Arabidopsis thaliana: one gene and its partners. The protein of the gene in region 1 purifies or fractionates together with the protein of each later gene. This does not show direct contact. Each region holds a gene or a part of one and is shown in the gene's direction. Other genes may lie near its edges. The genes, in order: BI1, VHA-A and HA1.

Region 1 (4,380 bases):
GAGATAAACTTTCACTGATTCACAGATTATTGCATAACAAAAAAAGGAAAATGAAAGATTGTAAGAACTTGTTCACTTCTTTGAAGAAACTGTTGATGAATCTGGCTCTTTCCATGCAGCTTGCCATTGTTTGTCATATAACGTAGTCTCATCGAACAGATCCTTAAGTTTGTCTAAATCTTCATTCTTACGGATGAAGAGAACTCCAGCTACAGCCACAAACAAGAGTGTTTTGCAGAAGAAATTTCCCATTTGATCAACAAGTCCTACTCCGGTAAGACTATCAACAAAGTAAGCCATGAAGAACCCTATCATCGCAGCACGACCTACACCACCAAGACAACAACTTAGATGCACAAAATGTTAAGTGTACTATATCTAAGTGTTAGATCATAAGTGTTTTGAAAATCACCATTGAGAAGTTCAGCTTCAGGTAGATGGTATCTCTTCATCCATGCCCACCATGGAATAATCGAAGTATCGAAGACAACAAGCTCGTCGTTACTCGTTGTTTCCGGGTTATCTTCAAGCCATTTTCTCCTCTTTGCCTCTATAAAAATACATAATCAACACATTTACACAACAAACACTCCTCTTCTTACACACCACTATAAGAAACCAAAGCAGAATCTTCCTAATAACAAAGCATAGACATATATCAAGTATTCAAAGAATCTGTACTGAACTGAAGTTTTAAAAGGATCTAACCAGAAACGATAACAGAATCCCAATCAGTTTTGCCATCTTTCTCGAACTGTTTCAGATCCCAAGTTCCATTAACCCACTTCGCATTCTGATATTTGATTACCGTCTCAGTACTCGAATCAGTCGCTTCACCTCCAACGGCGCCGTTTTCAGAAGCGGAGGAGCTTTCGGCTGGAGATTTAACTGGAACTTCCTCTACAGCCACAGAAGCAGGCTTCGGAATCTCCACGACGGGGGAAGTCGTACCATTGTCGGAGGAAGCTCTAGGGACGGAGATTAGAGAGAAACGCTTGGTGGAGAGAAGAGAGGTTGAGATCTTGGGGATGAGATTAGGGTTCTGAAGTGAGGAAGAGATCGGCGGAGAGAATAACGCCATGGATATAGACATTTTTTTGTTAAGATCTCTCTCTCTCTCTCTCTCTCTCTTTGTCTCTCTCGATCTCCTCTGCTCTGAGTTTTTTTTTTTTTTGCAGAGTTAGTTTGAATGTGTGGTTTGAAATGAGCTATGAAGGAAGTGAAAGAGATGTTGTTATCGTTAGAAACTTGGATTGTATGTCGTTTTCCTTTTTTAATTCAGTTTAAGGAAGAAACTACGTGATGTTTTCTGTAAGCAAAAATAGAAAGATAAACGAGACTGTTAATGGGCTTTGCGATCAGCCCATATAGAACTAGAATTCAAAACCTGACATTTAACCATACTCTCGACCCATGATTTACGAATTGACTAGACGATATGAAAATGTCCTTGGTCTTTTCTTTATTAGTTTGTTAAACTTTTGATGCAACTGAAAATAATAGAGAAAGATTATAGAAAAGTCTTTGTAAATTAATAAATACTGTTATCCAAAATACTTTATCACAAAACTAAAACAAATTTATTCCTAAGCTTAAACAATAATATGTAAACTAAGTGAAAAATCCACGTGGATGATTCTTATTGGTTAGATGACGATTTAGATATTTCATTTGCTTCGCGGCAAAGTTTCAACTCATTACGACGACGACGATCTCAACGTTCAAGAAGTTTCCAGAACTACCCTTCTCCGTGTTTAATGCCCCTACACGTGTAGCGAATGCGTAATAACTACACATAAGCAGTAAGGGTATTATTGTCAATTTAGTCCCCAATCATAAGGCCCATTATAAATAACGAAAGTCTTTATTTTCTAACTAATATTTTCATTAATCGATTCTCAAAGTCAAGCAAAAAAAACGAAACAATGGATGCGTTCTCTTCCTTCTTCGATTCTCAACCTGGTAGCAGAAGCTGGAGCTATGATTCTCTTAAAAACTTCCGTCAGATTTCTCCAGCCGTTCAGAATCATCTTAAACGGGTAAGTTTCTTCGCCGCCGATGTCTATTCATATCACACACCAAACCGCGATGTCTAGATTAGAGTCGATAGATTGAGATTCGTTTCGTTTTCGTGCTATTGATCGCTCTATGTTTCTATATTTCATCTAATTTCTATGATTTGGTTTCCGTTGAACGAATCGTTGCGATCGTACTTTATCTAGGGTTTCTAATTGGGTCTTTCCATGATTTAGTTTGTTGATACTTACTTGATTATGATTCTGTGGAGATCTTTCGTTATACTTTACTCTGCTTATTATTGTTAAGATCCTCTTGTTCATTTGTCATGTTCCATTTGCAGAAGGGAATGTGATTTGTATACTCACTCATGTTACAAATGCTCATTGGTTCTTATTATTTGTGGTGGAATCTTTGTAGGTTTATTTGACCTTATGTTGTGCTCTTGTGGCGTCTGCCTTTGGAGCTTACCTCCATGTGCTCTGGAATATCGGCGGTATTCTTACAACGATTGGATGTATTGGAACTATGATTTGGCTCCTTTCATGTCCTCCTTATGAACACGTACGTGGGCTCGATTTACCCAACCCAATAGTGAATTGGCTGCTTTCTTATTGTACTAAAGTTTCGTTTTCCTGACATTGTTGTTTGTTTTGATGCAGCAAAAAAGGCTTTCTCTTCTGTTTGTGTCTGCTGTTCTTGAAGGTGCTTCTGTTGGCCCCTTGATCAAAGTGGCAATTGATGTTGACCCAAGGTGTGTTATGGTTATGCAATTTGATTCTTGTTGTTCAATGTTAATTTTCTGTTAGACTATTCTAGGAGCTGACCTTTATATCTTTCTTTTGGTTCTCCAGCATCCTTATCACTGCATTTGTTGGAACTGCGATAGCGTTTGTCTGTTTCTCAGCAGCAGCAATGTTAGCAAGACGCAGGGAGTATCTCTACCTTGGAGGACTGCTTTCATCTGGCTTGTCTATGCTAATGTGGCTCCAGTTTGCCTCTTCAATCTTTGGTGGCTCTGCATCTATCTTTAAGTTTGAGGTAAACCGAATGCCTCTGTTTTAGAATGATCTGTTCTTTGTCTTACTTTCTCAGACATCTCACCATTGTTATGAATACGTCTCTGGTTGCAGTTGTACTTTGGACTTTTGATCTTTGTGGGATACATGGTGGTGGACACACAAGAGATTATAGAAAAGGCACACCTCGGTGACATGGACTATGTAAAACATTCGTTGACCCTTTTCACTGACTTTGTAGCTGTGTTTGTTCGGATTCTCATCATAATGGTAAGTTCATTTGTCGCTGGTATAAGAAAATGGTACACTTTATTTGTTAGTAAACCGTCATTGACGGACTCTTTTGTTATGCAGTTGAAGAACTCAGCAGATAAAGAAGAGAAGAAGAAGAAAAGGAGAAACTGAGGGGATGTAAAGTAAATTTAACTTTATGGTTGTTATCGTGTGTGGCCACTTTGAAGATATTACTTGTTAGCACTCTCTATTGGTGACCAGACATGTTTCCACTAAAAAGGATCTGCTTGTTTCACTTCTGCACAAGTACCATCTTCAGATTGTAAATGACTCGAGTGTTGTTCTTCTTTTCATAAACTTTTGTTCTTTAAGAGTTTGGTTCTACTGATTGCATCTTACCAAGCTAAGAATAATGTAGGAAAATGATAATCCTGTTTAAATTTTCTAAAATGTGTGCATTTCAGATTCTCACAGTTGCAACATTTGCTATTGCTTGGAAGTTGTAATCGAAAAATAACTTGCAATTTCCATGATAAGTGTGTAAAAACCTGCATTCTCGTGAAACGTGGATTTGAAAATTGCAAATAAATGGCGTTTAGCCTTTTGTCAAACGTCTGGTTGGAGCTTTTTGTCAAAATTTGTTCCCAATAGAATGTTGTGGTACGGCAAATGGCAAGGAATATACATCAGATTTTCCTTCTCACTTTAAAAACGACGTTATGTTTTGCATAGAGTCTAGACCTCGGAGCTCATGACCCGATCTTAAGTTTGAATCCATCCGACAAACCGACGATGGAGACAATACTAGTTATATACTTGCATATGTTCTGACTTCTGGTCCAAGGCAATCTAGGATTAGCACATTAACGTGTGTAGCATTTTCAATTGGGTTTTTGATACACTCCTTTTGCAATCCATGATAACATGATTGCAACTTGCAAAAGGATCTAAAAGAAAAGAAAATTAAAAATCACTGGCCAGAAATGCAAAACATGAACCAACCCCTAGAAGTTCTGTTAATACTTAATAGATGTAACAGAAGGAAATGAAGCCAAAAACGAGAACAAAATATTTGAATAAAACAATTACATCTCTGTTTTTTCTTTGTTTG
Region 2 (7,357 bases), on another chromosome or scaffold:
ACAAAAGCTAGACATATTATGTATCAGAATGTGCTTCTTGTTCTAAAATCTGGCCATTTCCTCGCTTTAGTACACAGTTTCCAAGAGATTGAGAAGTCTGACAGAGCATGGAGAGACAGAACAAGCATAGTCCTGTTTCAGGGAGAAGAACTAGTCAGAGATCATTGGTTTGCAATATTTGACACAGGCAAGACGAAGGGTTTCCCAAATGGCCAACTTTTGTTAAATGCTAAGAAATCCGACATATTGGTATGTAATGCTACTCATAAGGTAACAGCTCACTCTTCCACATTAAAATGAAACTTTGTATAAGTTTGAGACAAAATGTGAATGCTTTATAATTCCATGAAATGCTACTTATAAGGTAAGAGCACACTCTTCCACATTAGAATGAACTTTGTATAAGTTTGAGACAAAATGTGAATGCTTTAAAATTCAATGAAATACTACACTCTTCCACATTAAAATGAAACTCTGTATAAATTTGAGATGAAATGTGAATGCTTTACCTGCATAAGCAACGGTTACACCTGATATGAGTCGCCCAAGCGCTGATAAGAAGTAAAGGCAAATTACGACCTAAAGGAAAAAGCAAAAAACAAACATATTCAGTATAGAGCACAATTACTGAGTTAACAATTAGCAATGCATTTATATGGTAACTGGGTAAAGACACTAGGGTTCTAAGAGAATCTCTGTGGTGATATATTGATGCTAATGCATTTTGATACACTCATGATCCAAGAATAGTAACGGTATCTTGTACATAGTAAGTTGGTAACAAAGGACACACTTACCTTGACAAAAAGTCTCTTGTCATGTCCAGTTGCTGCAACCCTCAGAACACCCTCTGCTGCTCCAACGGTATTAGCTAAGCGTGCAACGATGTTACTTGCTGTGTCCTGTGATATTTGCCACTCTAGTGGATCCACTGGTACCCTTTAGAAAAGTTATAGGATTGTAAATCATGTGGTATGATAAAGCAAGGGTCTTGAAGAGTTATACACACAATGAGCAGAAGATAATGATATCATTGAACATTCTAGGATTATGACTATGCATTGATCACAGAGAACGGAAGATGATAGTAATCAAATAAGATCGATGCATCATTGATTCACCCAGAAATACAATGAGAACTAGTTTCAGTTCATGCCTTCAGAGAATACATGAAATCAATTTCATAATCAAGTTAACATAACTGATTGCACAACCACATTACAAAGTACAACCCAATTAAACAATTATATCGAGCAAGTATTCAAACTTGTCACAAATCAAAGGAGCCAACAAATTTCGTATCTACTCGGTCACCAAACAGCAAATGACTAAATCAGAGACCAAAGAACAAAATCCAATACCGTAACCAGAGAGATTTAGGCGAAAAATGTGAGGGAACTTACGAGACATTGAGTTGGCGAAAAAGGAGACCGAGAATGGCGAGAGAGCATAAGAGAACAATGAAAACATCGGAGAAGAGAGAGAGAAGAGTCGCGTTACGATATGCACAATGGTAATACACAAGCGTCCCGCTAATCAGCAATCCCATCGCCTTCCCCATTTCTCCCATCTCTCTCCCCACTTCAAAAAAAACTTGCTTTCCCTTTCTTCACTTTCAGAAAATTTCCCCGAGAAAACAAAACTGATCACTTTTGTGAATTTTCCGGCTTGATCAGAGAGAGAGAGAGATTCTCAAGCCGCATGTCTTTGTTGACTAAACGGACCCACTTATTGGGCCGTAAGTATATATTATAAAGCCCAATAAATAAACTGTCACGTGGCTATTAACGACAAAGTCCAGATCTACGCGCGTATCGTGTGTAGTCATGTACCGGATCACTCCACGATTTCGTCAATCAGATCAAAACTTCTCCAACTCTTTCAATATCTATCTACGTGCATCCACCTCTCTCTTCTTCTTCTTGTGACCACTCTTCCTGTCTGTTCACTGGTTAGGAGATCTCTATCCCTCTCTCTCTGATCCTTTTTGTTTCTTTCTGATTTATTGTATCGCTCTCTTTGAAAAACCTTAAGAGTTGTCTGATTTTGGCGATTTCTGATTTGTTGTTGTTGTTGTTTGATCGGATCTCGGCATTTTCTAGGAGGTGAATTTTGATTTTTTTGGCCGATCGGATTTGAGTTTTTGAATCTCTGATTGCTGAGAAAATGCCGGCGTTTTACGGAGGAAAGCTTACGACCTTCGAGGACGATGAGAAGGAGAGCGAGTATGGTTACGTTCGTAAGGTATTATCCTGTTTCGTTCGATCTGGTTTCAATTTGTTTTTTTTTCTGTTTTGCGATGTTAGTTTTTGGTGATGGATAGATGAAATAGTTGATCTGCTTACCAGGTAAGATTGGTGGGATAGCTAGATTTGATCTGATAGTTATCAGTGATTGAATCGGTTGATTCCGCGTTGGTTCAGTAACCTCGTCTTTGAATTTCTGATCTGATCTGATAGTTCTCAGTGATTTGACATTTTCTTTTATGGGATGCAGGTTTCAGGTCCTGTTGTTGTTGCCGATGGTATGGCCGGTGCTGCTATGTATGAGTTAGTGCGTGTTGGTCATGATAATTTGATTGGTGAAATCATCCGTCTTGAAGGAGATTCTGCCACCATCCAAGGTTTGTTTCTTCTATTGTGCTTCCTAGTGTAATTTACTTTACGGCATCTTATGTGACCTCTGTCGAAGTAAGATATCTTAACTGATATTTGGCAACTTCCTTTTGATCAGTTTACGAGGAAACAGCTGGATTGACAGTTAATGATCCCGTTCTTCGAACACACAAGGTTCGCGAGTTATTTATCTTGGTTTTTTCTAGTGTTGTTCATCTGCAGCTAACATATAATTTGTCCTGAATTTACTACAGCCACTTTCTGTGGAGCTCGGGCCAGGAATATTGGGAAATATCTTTGATGGAATTCAGGTTCAGTTGGATTTATAATCTTGCTAGACATGATTTTTTTTACTTTTATGATTCGTTTTATGTGGCTTCTTACGATTCTTTGGTTTCATTTCTTTAAATGTCACAGAGGCCTTTGAAGACTATTGCAAGAATATCCGGTGATGTGTACATTCCTCGGGGTGTGTCTGTTCCAGCTCTTGACAAAGATTGTCTTTGGGAGTTCCAGCCCAATAAATTTGGTAATGTGGTTTACTCCATATGCCTGTCTATGGAAGTGTTCATTTGGTTTTAATCTTGATGGTCAATTGAATTCGTTTTGTTTGCAGTCGAGGGAGACACAATAACTGGTGGTGACTTGTATGCTGTAAGTTTATTGGTCTCCTCTTTAATCTGCTTTTGACAAGGGAATCTATTTACACAGTTACCGTGGTGTTTCCCTTGTTTACACTGGGAATAGTTTTTTCTGAAAGTCAAATTAAACTTTGGAATGCAGACTGTCTTTGAGAACACTTTGATGAATCACCTCGTTGCCCTTCCTCCGGATGCCATGGGGAAGATCACTTACATTGCTCCAGCTGGTCAATATTCGCTTAAGGTTTGACTTTAAGTTTCCCTCAAACAGTTATGAATAAATACGTTTCAAACTTTTTCTTCCTTGATTTCTTTGAATTCAACGTTTGAGTTAATATATGGCTAACTTGATCAATTGGTAATCACTTCCTGTTGTAGATCATGTTTGGCTTGTTGCTAATAATTGTTTGTCGGTGATTTTCATTTCTCAGGATACCGTGATAGAGCTTGAATTCCAGGGGATCAAGAAATCTTACACCATGCTTCAGGTTTGCATGTATCTTTAATCTTCCTACTTGCAAACGTAAATTTTAAGCTATTTGGTTCACTCTGTTAAATTGGTTTGGTTGATATATGTCAGAGCTGGCCTGTACGTACGCCTAGGCCAGTTGCATCAAAGCTTGCTGCCGATACTCCTCTACTTACGGGGCAGGTGATTACTCGATTAATTCTTCTTACAGTGGTGATAGTCATTTGAATACATGTGTTGCTGATTGCTTTCTTTTCCTGTTGTCAGCGTGTTCTTGATGCCCTTTTCCCTTCTGTTCTTGGTGGAACCTGTGCCATTCCTGGTGCTTTTGGCTGTGGGAAAACTGTTATCAGTCAGGCACTTTCCAAGGTACCTTGTGACACTCTCTGGTTTTGTTCCATTTAATTACTGGATAGATTGAATTTCCAAAGCTAACTTTTTCTTATTTACATAGTACTCCAACTCTGATGCTGTTGTGTATGTTGGTTGTGGAGAGAGAGGAAATGAAATGGCTGAGGTATATCTCTTCTCATTCTAAATTTGCATATTGTTCATACAAATCGGACATTTGATCTGATTGTTTCTCATAAATTAGGTTCTTATGGACTTCCCACAATTGACAATGACGTTGCCTGATGGCCGTGAGGAATCTGTCATGAAACGTACCACACTTGTTGCTAACACCTCTAACATGCCTGTGGCTGCTCGTGAAGCCTCAATTTACACAGGTAATGTTCAGGCACACAGATTTAATAGTTATTGATGAATCCCATTGCCTATGCTCATTTTTTTTTTTTTTTTTTAATGTGAATTCCAGGAATCACAATCGCTGAATATTTTAGAGATATGGGCTACAATGTTAGTATGATGGCAGACTCAACTTCCCGTTGGGCAGAAGCATTAAGAGAAATTTCAGGACGGCTGGTAATCTTATGCGTTTCACTTTTGCTATATGGATGTTCGTGTTGTCCTCATCTCACTTTTCTTTTTCTCAGTTTATTGACACCTATTTTGCTTTGTTTTATAGGCTGAAATGCCTGCTGACAGTGGATATCCAGCCTATCTAGCAGCACGTTTAGCATCTTTCTATGAACGTGCTGGTAAAGTAAAATGTCTTGGTGGACCAGAACGTAACGGAAGTGTTACAATTGTTGGTGCAGTTTCGCCTCCTGGAGGAGACTTTTCAGATCCTGTGACTTCAGCAACCCTTAGTATTGTGCAGGTGATTATTTGGTTCATGTCTGCTTCCCTATCTTCCATTGTAGATTACATAGTCGTATATGTTGGTTGAGATGAACCAGATGGTGTTTAGTTTTAGATCTGCCGCAGACTCGTATATTTAAGCATTTTTTTTCTCCACTTTGAAATGCTTACTCTTCCATTCTGGTTGTTTCTCTTTTCTTCTGCAGGTCTTCTGGGGTTTGGACAAAAAGCTTGCCCAGAGAAAACATTTTCCCTCTGTTAATTGGTTGATTTCTTACTCAAAGTATTCAACGGTATGCTTAAATATTCTCGGTTCAAACTTGTCTTGGTTTACTATCTAGAAATCTTGTATATAAAACGCTGCTTTTTGTTTTAGGCACTGGAATCTTTCTATGAGAAGTTCGATCCAGATTTCATCAACATCAGGACAAAGGCCAGAGAGGTGTTGCAGAGGGAAGACGATCTTAATGAAATTGTCCAGGTATGTATCACTTATCCTTGTATAAGTATCTATTGTGGTGACCAATGAACTCTTGTCTCAGCAACCCTAATACATTTTGAAGGGGTTGAACGATAATCTTGGCATGTAAACTTGACTTGAGTTATAGAAGGAAAACAGTGCTAGCACGTTATTCTTTTCGAAAGGAACTTATTTGACCCACACATTGCTTTTTGTGTGCAGCTTGTAGGAAAAGATGCGCTAGCAGAAGGGGACAAAATCACATTGGAAACAGCTAAGCTATTGAGGGAAGATTACCTTGCTCAAAACGCGTTTACACCGTAAGATTTGTTGGCTCCCTTCGTTTTGGTTTAGTACTCTCTCTTTCTCTCTCAACGGGTTATTCACTCTTGAACCTTTTGGATGAATTTTTTGACAGATATGACAAATTCTGTCCTTTCTACAAGTCCGTGTGGATGATGCGTAACATTATCCATTTCTACAACCTAGCCAACCAGGTAAATAAGATGAGATTTATACATACTATGCTAAGTGGGGATTAAGGTCAATTGGTTTGTCTAGGTAAAAACCCATTAATTGTTTTGGATACACAGGCGGTTGAGAGAGCAGCTGGAATGGACGGTCAAAAGATTACCTACACTCTTATCAAGCATCGCTTAGGAGATCTTTTCTACCGTTTAGTGTAAGCAAACGACTTGCTTCTCCTCGATTTCTCTATGACTCTGTTACATAGCGCTCTAATAAAATGGTCTGAAACGGAATTATGGGAACTACAGGTCTCAGAAGTTCGAAGACCCAGCAGAAGGGGAGGATACACTGGTGGAAAAATTCAAGAAATTGTACGACGATCTCAATGCTGGATTCCGTGCTTTGGAAGATGAAACTCGGTAAGCTGTCGAGTCTCCACCGCAAGTAAAAAAAATCCACAGAATTGGGTTGTTTTTGGAGAAAGAGGGTTTCATTCATGGTCTCTTTCTTGTGTTTTTGAACCAACAACTATCATAGTGGTCGGTATTTTATTTATCGGTTTGGTCGATCGATTGAGTTTTAGCTCTGTGAGCGTCATGATTCTCCGGCTGTGCTGTGCTGTGTAATATGTTTGATTCGTTGTTTTCATGTTTTTATTTCGGTGGTAATAAGGTACAGCCAATGTGAGTCATATATTTGATTTGATGTACCCTCTCAATTCAATAAGTTAATTTTATGTCCAAAAACATATTGGGGATACCGTTATTTTTCTCATAATAAATACCATCATTTTGTAATTTTTTTTTCATTTTATGGTTTGGTGGTGTAAACATAATAAATCGGTAATTGAAGAGGAAAATTTAAAATCACAAAATAATTTAGTTGTACTAATTTCATGAGCAAGTCTGTGATATGACCCATGAATTTATTTAGCACGACCGAGTTGGATCGACGAGTCAATTAGTAAGAATTGAAAGCCCAACAGGCCCAAATTGGCTTTCCCCGTCGCGTTCTTTCTCTCTTCGTCTTCCTCGGCCGTAGCGCGCGAAGAAGAACCGCCGGCATTCAGCATTCTGACCCTAGACACAGAGTCCTCCGGTCTTCTGATAAACCCCCATGTGGAAGGCCAAGACATGCTTCCGTCAGATTTACTTGACCGTACTAATACGGCGGTACTCGAGAGTCGCTCCGCCGCCGTCTTCGGTGATCCGCGTGACAAACAACGTAGCACACCTGGGACCACCGAAGCAAGGACCACTGCCACGTCAGCTGATATCCCTGCCGCCATTTCCCGGTCATCCATTACCTGGCAAAAACGCCGGAGCTGACGGCGACGATGGAGATAGCGGCGGCCACGTCACAGCTATAAGCTGGGTCAAGTACTATTTTGAAGAAATCTATGATAAGGCTATTCAAACTCATTTCACAAAGGGCCTTGTGAGTGTCTCTGGTATAACAATTTCATTACTTCTGATCAAATATTTGATTGAGCTTTGTTAGA
Region 3 (8,017 bases), on another chromosome or scaffold:
ACAAAGAATATGACGAATAAATTTAACTTTTTGAAATCCTAAAAAAAAAAGCATACACATTTAAATAAATACTTTTATGTATTTACCTATGAAAGTTAAATTGATTTTGTCTATCAGATACATAAATGATCAAATAATAAATGAGAAAAACCTGCCCATATGTGCCGATATATATCCAGTTGAATTAAACCATCATCTTCTTGTTTCTTTGTTTTTAAAATTCTCTTATGAAATCGATCTTTTAGATAAAATACAATCGAATTTATGGAAGCAAGAAAAAAAAATTACGTAGGGGAGGTGTATTATTGGGGGACCCAGCACGATCAAAAAGTCAATATTCATCAGCCAATTTGCTGAATAAATAAATAAATAACCTTGAAAACAATTTTTGGTTAAATTACAAAAATAATGATATCCACAAACATGTGAATTGTTCCAGCAATTGCTGACCTTGCCATGAGGCACCTTGGAAGAGCCATTGCTTCATTACAATCCTTTAAAGCCATAAATATGAGATTAGGATTACCAAAATTTCACATATAACAAATTGTTTTATATCATTACTAGCTTAATATGTGTTTTATTATAGTTTTAGATCGACGTCATCTGAATATTTTCCCCCAAACTCCTAAATTTTATAATCTGTGTCTAAACCTAATTTTATATTTCAAAACATCCCTTTTTCTGGAAGAAACTTGTCTTTTAATTTTTTTTTTTTTTTTCACACTTGTCTTTTAATTTCCTTAAGAGACCAAATCAAGTTAATTTAGTGTACTCACCACCTTTAAAACAGGTCAAGTTAATTTATTTGAACATCAGTAATAAATTTATGAACATCTCTTTTCAACATCGGTATTCTTAAATAGTGTTTTAGAATCGTCATTTTAACTTTATGTTTCACTAAACTTAGAAAATATTTAGTTTTTTTTATCTCAATTAGTAATTATCATTTAAATTTTTATTTTCTCGGTTTCTACTTCGCCACTATTATTTAACATATTATTAAACAAATTAGTATTATACGGGTTGATTTTAATTTTCCAATTACAAATTAATTAAAATTCAACTTTTTGATTGGTTGTATAATCCGAAGGAAAAATGTTTACATACGAATTGTTTTAAAAACACTTTGATTTAAAAGTCCGACCTAAACAATCAACATGAAAATTAAACTTATGAGCAAATTAGGTTGATCTAGAAAATAACTTTTGCATTTGTCTCATAGGGAATTATAAAGTTAGTATCTACACACATATATCAAATATACATGTTATATCTATATTACTCTCTCTCTCTCTCTCTCTCTCTCTCTATATATATATATATATATATATATGTATATTCACAAATCCATGTATGTATTTTAAATTTTGTTTGTTTTTTTTTTCCTTCAAAATGAGTAACTTATATAGAAGTCATTAAGATTAGCTTTGCACAACTCTTTGGGAACAAAAAAGAACCCAAATTTTAAGCATTATTCAATGTTCATATAATTATTATGTATATTATTTTTCCTTATTGATTATCAATTTTATATACACAAAAAGATATCAGTGAAGAACTTATGATTGTGCATATTTTCTGTCCATACATAACCACAATATTAATCAAAAATTTAAATTTATCTTAGATATTTTTCTTATGATAATTCAATACTGTATAATTTTTTAAAATCTATACATTACAGTTTTGTCTTTTAAATCATATTCTAATATGCATAAATATCTAGAAAAATACTAACTCCATAGAATTAAATTTCTTATGTAAGTTTAGTATATTATCCTAAATTTGTGTTAATGTTAAGATTTCTACTAAATTTGATACTCAAAAGTAAAAAGTTTCTCTTAATAGAAAAAAATAAATATAGATTCTCTTACATTACAGGATCAGAGTATAAAACCAGTTTAAGTAAACAATGTTTCAAAAAACAGTATGATATCTGAAATTTTAATTATAAAACCAAAAATCCAAAGTCAAATATACGTTTTCCAAGTGAGAAAGGACCCATAAACAATTAACAACCATTGATGATCACCAAATCATAATCAACGGTCGAAATGAATGAAAAATAAAAGTCTGAAACGGTGGAGAGTTTCGTCGTTTTGAGTGGTTATAAAAAGAGAAGGCGTATATCTCCTCTGCAACAGAAGCTCGCTTTCTCTCTCTCTCTCTCGTGTGTGTGTGTGTGATCGAGTGGTGAAACGACAGAGAGGGGCGTCGTTTTGTTGATTTCTTCTGGGTGAAGATGTCAGGTCTCGAAGATATCAAGAACGAGACCGTTGATCTGGTATTATTTCGATTCTCTTCTCGCTTAAATTCTTCGAGTTTTTAATTTCATTTTTAGTGTTTATTCATCATGCCCACAAAGTGTTCGATGATTTGCTTGAATGAGAAATAGATCTGTTTCGTTGTTGTTCCTTGCATGGTTTCACGTTTGATTCTTTTACCCTTTTTTCTTCAAATCATTTTCCGATGATTCTACTCCTTTTTTCTTTGATCGAAAACTGAATCTTAATTCCTCAAGAACCCGAAAAATCCGCAAAAAAAAAAAAAACCGATTTTTCCCCCCAATTGTATCTGCCTCATTTTCGATGATTCTATCATGGATCCTATACAAAACCCAAATCAAGATTCCAACTTTATTAATTTTGGTCTAAAATTAGGGTAAAATAACAGATGTCTTTTAAAGGTTTTAGGTATTAAGCCAAAAATAAGTAGATTTTGATACTGTTCATCAGAAAAAGTAGATCTACCCAAAAACTACACACATGTGAAACGCTGAATAAAAAGATAAGTCTTTTTAGTGGTGGAGCTAAGCTTAAGCTACGTCTCAACAAAAGTCTCTTTCACATATTTATTAAAAGAGAAAAAAATCGCAAAAAGTTTGATTTTGCTTGTGATATATAACTTTCTTTCTCTAAAAAAAATCATCTTTTTTTTGTAAAGATAACGTTTTTGATGTTAAAGCAGTTCATAATATTCTTCTATCTTCCACCCATGAAAAATACCAGAGTTTTTAATAAATTTAAGTTTTCAACTTTTTTTTAAATTGTTGTTGATGTTCGAATTTTTTTGATGTACCTTTCCGTAGTACGTTTTTTTTTTTTTTGAACTTCTTTGTCCTTTTGTAAAACATCTATCAGTAGAAGCAACTTGTGAATTCCTCTATTGTAATTGATTTTGTTTAGTGAAATTGTTTTATGACCGAAATACCCTTAACCGGACTTTGGCTTTCACGCCGGAAAGTAGCCACCTTTCATGGAGGGAATCCCGCAGGCGCGTGTGTTACACGTTCCATAACACGTGCATTGAAGTAGTAGTAGTAGTGGTGGTGGTGGTGGTGGTCCCTCTATCCTCCACTGCCAGATTCTTTTCACCTTTCATTGTCACAACTTGAGTCAACGCCACTCTTCATCTTCCGAGTCGCCGAGTTGGATCGTTTCTGACATTTGTAAAAAGATTTCAAAACTAGAAAAGTTTTTGTCTTTTTTACCCTTTTGTTCTTGTTTGATGTTTGAGTTACTATTGTTTGGGTTCTGATCAAAACTTTTGCTTTGATTCTCAGGAAAAAATTCCGATTGAGGAAGTTTTCCAGCAGCTAAAATGTACAAGGGAAGGATTGACAACGCAGGAAGGGGAAGACAGGATTGTGATATTTGGCCCCAACAAGCTCGAAGAGAAGAAGGTTTGAGTTTGACTTAGCATTGTTGTTTTATCATCATTGAAAGCTTTGGTTTTGTTTAACTCACGAGGTTGATCTTTCGTAAAAAAATATCAGGAAAGCAAAATTCTGAAGTTTCTGGGGTTCATGTGGAATCCGCTTTCATGGGTTATGGAAGCTGCAGCTCTCATGGCCATTGCTTTGGCTAATGGTGATAATCGACCTCCGGATTGGCAAGATTTTGTGGGTATTATCTGTCTGCTTGTTATCAACTCCACAATCAGTTTCATTGAAGAAAACAACGCCGGAAATGCTGCAGCTGCTCTCATGGCTGGTCTTGCTCCTAAAACCAAGGTAATATGTTGGTGGATGCTGTGACATTACTGTACAAGATATTTCGAGACTTCTAGAGAGCTTAACCTGTTTCTCTGTTTTCAGGTTCTTAGGGATGGAAAATGGAGTGAACAAGAGGCTGCTATCCTTGTCCCAGGTGATATTGTTAGCATTAAACTTGGAGACATTATCCCAGCCGATGCCCGTCTTCTTGAAGGAGATCCTTTAAAGGTTGATCAGTCTGCTCTAACTGGAGAGTCCCTTCCTGTGACCAAGCACCCTGGTCAAGAAGTTTTCTCTGGTTCAACTTGTAAACAAGGAGAAATCGAAGCGGTTGTTATAGCCACTGGAGTTCACACCTTCTTTGGTAAAGCTGCTCACCTTGTGGACAGCACTAACCAAGTTGGGCACTTCCAGAAAGTTCTTACATCCATTGGAAACTTCTGTATCTGTTCTATTGCTATTGGTATAGCGATTGAAATAGTCGTCATGTACCCTATCCAACACCGAAAGTACAGAGATGGAATTGACAATCTCTTGGTCCTCTTGATCGGTGGTATCCCCATTGCTATGCCCACGGTCTTGTCTGTGACTATGGCTATCGGGTCTCACAGGTTGTCTCAGCAAGGTGCTATCACCAAACGTATGACAGCCATTGAAGAAATGGCGGGAATGGATGTCCTTTGCAGTGACAAAACCGGGACACTAACCCTTAATAAATTGAGTGTGGATAAAAACTTGGTTGAGGTTTTCTGCAAGGGTGTGGAGAAAGATCAAGTTCTACTATTTGCAGCTATGGCTTCTAGGGTGGAGAACCAGGACGCTATTGATGCAGCCATGGTTGGAATGCTTGCTGATCCGAAAGAGGTATAACTCTAATCATTTTGAATTACTTCTTTAGTTTAGTGAAAGGTCGAGAAAACAAGTTCTTAATTTCTTATGTTTCACTTGGATTTTCATAGGCCCGAGCTGGAATCAGAGAGGTTCACTTCCTTCCATTCAACCCTGTGGATAAGAGAACTGCTTTGACTTACATCGACTCTGATGGTAACTGGCACAGAGTCAGCAAAGGTGCTCCCGAGCAGGTGATGAATCTTCAACTTTCTCCTAAAGATGTTGCGTTTTTCCTTTATTCTGTGTACTAATTCGATTCTCCCACACAGATCCTTGACCTTGCCAATGCCAGGCCTGACCTTAGGAAGAAGGTACTCTCTTGTATTGACAAGTACGCTGAGCGCGGTCTTAGGTCGTTGGCAGTAGCTCGTCAGGTACTTTTTTACAAGCAATTTTTACATTGGTCTTATTTGGGTTTTTTTTTTGGCCTGTAAATCAACTGTTTAATTGCATATTCCTTTTTAGGTGGTACCCGAGAAAACAAAAGAAAGCCCAGGTGGACCATGGGAATTTGTTGGCTTGTTGCCTCTTTTTGACCCTCCAAGACACGACAGTGCCGAAACCATTCGTAGGGCGTTGAATCTAGGTGTTAATGTGAAGATGATCACTGGTAACTATTCTTATTCATCATTTTTTTCCCATGAAATCCATGGTTATTTAGATGTTTTCCCCTAACTTGCGCTCTAACTACGTTGCCAGGTGATCAACTTGCTATTGGTAAGGAAACCGGTCGCAGGCTTGGAATGGGAACCAATATGTATCCATCTGCGGCTCTTCTCGGTACCGACAAGGACTCGAACATTGCATCCATCCCTGTTGAGGAGTTGATCGAGAAGGCTGATGGGTTTGCCGGCGTCTTTCCAGGTTATGCCTTGCTTTCAGTTTCAAACCTCATCACATGTTCATTATAAAGTTTTGTTATATTGATCCAAGGTTCTTATGGTTACTGATTGCAGAGCACAAATATGAAATTGTGAAAAAGCTGCAGGAGAGGAAGCACATTGTTGGTATGACCGGTGATGGTGTTAATGATGCACCCGCTTTGAAGAAAGCAGATATCGGTATTGCTGTGGCCGATGCTACAGATGCTGCTCGTGGTGCTTCAGATATCGTCCTCACGGAACCTGGGCTGAGTGTCATCATCAGTGCCGTTCTCACTAGCAGAGCTATCTTCCAGAGAATGAAGAACTACACCGTGCGTATTCTTAATCTCACTCTAATATATTATGCCCACCACTTGTGTTCGTTTGCGCTGGAAACTAATAATTTTAGTTTCCTGCTTGTGACAGATTTATGCAGTCTCAATCACAATCCGTATTGTGGTAAGTAGAAACCCGTTTTACAAATCTATCACTTGTTTAGCATGATTTTACTTTTTGTATACTGATCATATTGCGTTGTAACTCTTGCAGTTTGGTTTCATGCTTATTGCTTTGATATGGGAATTTGACTTCTCAGCGTTCATGGTTCTGATTATTGCCATCCTTAATGATGGTGAGCAAATAACATCCTACTTTTCTAGACAGCGTCCTCACTCGTTATCAGCTATATCTTATGGTATTATGTGTTACTACCTTTTAGGTACTATCATGACAATCTCAAAGGACAGAGTCAAGCCATCTCCCACACCTGATAGCTGGAAGCTCAAAGAAATTTTCGCCACTGGAATTGTGCTGGGAGGCTACCAAGCCATTATGAGTGTTATTTTCTTCTGGGCTGCTCACAAGACCGACTTTTTCTCGGTACATCATCAGTTTATTTTCATTTCTTTTCTCTTTTTTTTGGTACAGGTGCTTCAGGGACTATATAGATATATATGGCCAGGCCTTTTGCTCTGAGTCTTAAAAAATTGTCTCACCTTCGATTTGCAGGACAAGTTCGGTGTGAGGTCAATCAGGGACAATAACGATGAACTAATGGGTGCTGTGTATCTACAAGTTAGTATCATCAGTCAAGCTCTAATCTTTGTCACCAGGTCAAGGAGTTGGTCATTTGTCGAACGTCCTGGGGCGCTTCTGATGATTGCATTCGTCATTGCACAACTGGTAAGGACATCAAGCACACATATTTTCTGAACTTCGATTAGGTTAAAGAAACCCACTGAATTCATTCACTCCTTCCAAATGCAGGTTGCAACTTTGATCGCAGTGTATGCCGACTGGACATTTGCAAAGGTGAAGGGTATCGGTTGGGGATGGGCAGGTGTGATTTGGATTTACAGTATCGTAACATACTTCCCACAGGACATTTTGAAGTTTGCCATTCGGTATATCTTGAGTGGAAAGGCTTGGGCCAGCTTGTTTGACAACAGGGTACATACAAGTCTATCTACCACTATAGAGACCTCTTTTACAAGCTGATGGTAACATACTAATCACATCTTCTTCTATGTTAACAGACCGCTTTCACAACCAAGAAAGATTACGGTATTGGAGAAAGAGAAGCTCAATGGGCACAAGCTCAAAGGACATTGCACGGTCTGCAGCCAAAAGAAGATGTTAATATCTTCCCAGAGAAAGGAAGTTACAGAGAGCTGTCTGAGATCGCAGAGCAAGCCAAGAGAAGGGCCGAGATAGCTAGGTAAGTAGTGTGATTAAAACGAATCTCAACGGAAAGATGCCATTTGATAGAGGTTCTGATTGGTGAATGATTTAATATTATGTTGTGACAGGCTTAGGGAGCTTCACACATTGAAGGGACATGTGGAATCAGTCGCAAAGCTAAAGGGATTGGACATTGATACAGCAGGACATCACTACACTGTGTAGTTGGAGTTGCACAACAACACAAACATTTACCGAAAACCAACCCCATCATGACTCATCTTTTGTTTTGTCTTCACAAATCTCTCTTTAAAAGTCATTACAGTAGAGGGAAGAGAACTCTTGTGTATTGCCATAACTCTTCCAAAACTCTTTTTTCTTTTTGTTATTGTTAGTCATTGTTCTTAAAACTCCTACTCGATATGAGCTTTGCAAATTTGCCTTTGAAGAAACAAGGCCCTTTGCCTTTGAAGAGACAAGGCACTTTGCTTTTTAATGGCCTAATGTGATTATTCTATCACTCTTTTGTCTGTTTGATCAATTTCATCTTGAAGATAATATTTAAATTTAATTCTAAAACAAGAAC

Evidence for each region.
Region 2: the proteins of BI1 (region 1) and VHA-A purify together in Arabidopsis thaliana (affinity purification with western blotting, with the first as the bait; one study listed by BioGRID). This does not show direct contact.
Region 3: the proteins of BI1 (region 1) and HA1 purify together in Arabidopsis thaliana (affinity purification with western blotting, with the first as the bait; one study listed by BioGRID). This does not show direct contact.

Annotation. Positions count from the first base shown.
Region 1 is NC_003076.8:19,134,146-19,138,525, forward strand, and holds BI1 (BAX inhibitor 1), read left to right. Parts: upstream 1-1,806; 5' UTR 1,807-1,925; coding exon 1,926-2,039; intron 2,040-2,436; coding exon 2,437-2,580; intron 2,581-2,678; coding exon 2,679-2,770; intron 2,771-2,870; coding exon 2,871-3,057; intron 3,058-3,149; coding exon 3,150-3,305; intron 3,306-3,389; coding exon 3,390-3,440; 3' UTR 3,441-3,880; downstream 3,881-4,380. Other genes in the region: LIL3:2 (Chlorophyll A-B binding family protein), read right to left, coding at 73-326, 413-550, 709-1,093. UniProt on the Arabidopsis thaliana protein: Suppressor of apoptosis. Modulator of endoplasmic reticulum stress-mediated programmed cell death. Involved in methyl jasmonate-induced leaf senescence through regulating cytoplasmic calcium level.
Region 2 is NC_003070.9:29,658,297-29,665,653, forward strand, and holds VHA-A (vacuolar ATP synthase subunit A), read left to right. Parts: upstream 1-1,791; 5' UTR 1,792-1,951; exon of another isoform or gene 1,952-2,102; 5' UTR 2,103-2,166; coding exon 2,167-2,244; intron 2,245-2,496; coding exon 2,497-2,623; intron 2,624-2,733; coding exon 2,734-2,789; intron 2,790-2,869; coding exon 2,870-2,926; intron 2,927-3,032; coding exon 3,033-3,144; intron 3,145-3,231; coding exon 3,232-3,269; intron 3,270-3,398; coding exon 3,399-3,500; intron 3,501-3,687; coding exon 3,688-3,744; intron 3,745-3,836; coding exon 3,837-3,908; intron 3,909-3,992; coding exon 3,993-4,094; intron 4,095-4,179; coding exon 4,180-4,242; intron 4,243-4,320; coding exon 4,321-4,453; intron 4,454-4,542; coding exon 4,543-4,649; intron 4,650-4,752; coding exon 4,753-4,947; intron 4,948-5,134; coding exon 5,135-5,221; intron 5,222-5,304; coding exon 5,305-5,409; intron 5,410-5,610; coding exon 5,611-5,708; intron 5,709-5,806; coding exon 5,807-5,885; intron 5,886-5,981; and 5 more. Other genes in the region: AT1G78895 (Reticulon family protein), read right to left, coding at 17-132, 510-579, 798-939, 1,404-1,570; AT1G78910 (Pseudouridine synthase family protein), read left to right, coding at 6,973-7,293. UniProt on the Arabidopsis thaliana protein: Catalytic subunit of the peripheral V1 complex of vacuolar ATPase. V-ATPase vacuolar ATPase is responsible for acidifying a variety of intracellular compartments in eukaryotic cells.
Region 3 is NC_003071.7:8,219,613-8,227,629, forward strand, and holds HA1 (H[+]-ATPase 1), read left to right. Parts: upstream 1-1,901; 5' UTR 1,902-2,245; coding exon 2,246-2,287; intron 2,288-2,540; exon of another isoform or gene 2,541-3,565; coding exon 3,566-3,685; intron 3,686-3,778; coding exon 3,779-4,015; intron 4,016-4,099; coding exon 4,100-4,861; intron 4,862-4,956; coding exon 4,957-5,079; intron 5,080-5,157; coding exon 5,158-5,262; intron 5,263-5,353; coding exon 5,354-5,498; intron 5,499-5,587; coding exon 5,588-5,752; intron 5,753-5,844; coding exon 5,845-6,083; intron 6,084-6,177; coding exon 6,178-6,210; intron 6,211-6,300; coding exon 6,301-6,382; intron 6,383-6,469; coding exon 6,470-6,630; intron 6,631-6,759; coding exon 6,760-6,933; intron 6,934-7,017; coding exon 7,018-7,200; intron 7,201-7,286; coding exon 7,287-7,468; intron 7,469-7,559; coding exon 7,560-7,656; 3' UTR 7,657-8,010; downstream 8,011-8,017. UniProt on the Arabidopsis thaliana protein: The plasma membrane H(+) ATPase of plants and fungi generates a proton gradient that drives the active transport of nutrients by H(+)-symport. The resulting external acidification and/or internal alkinization may mediate growth responses.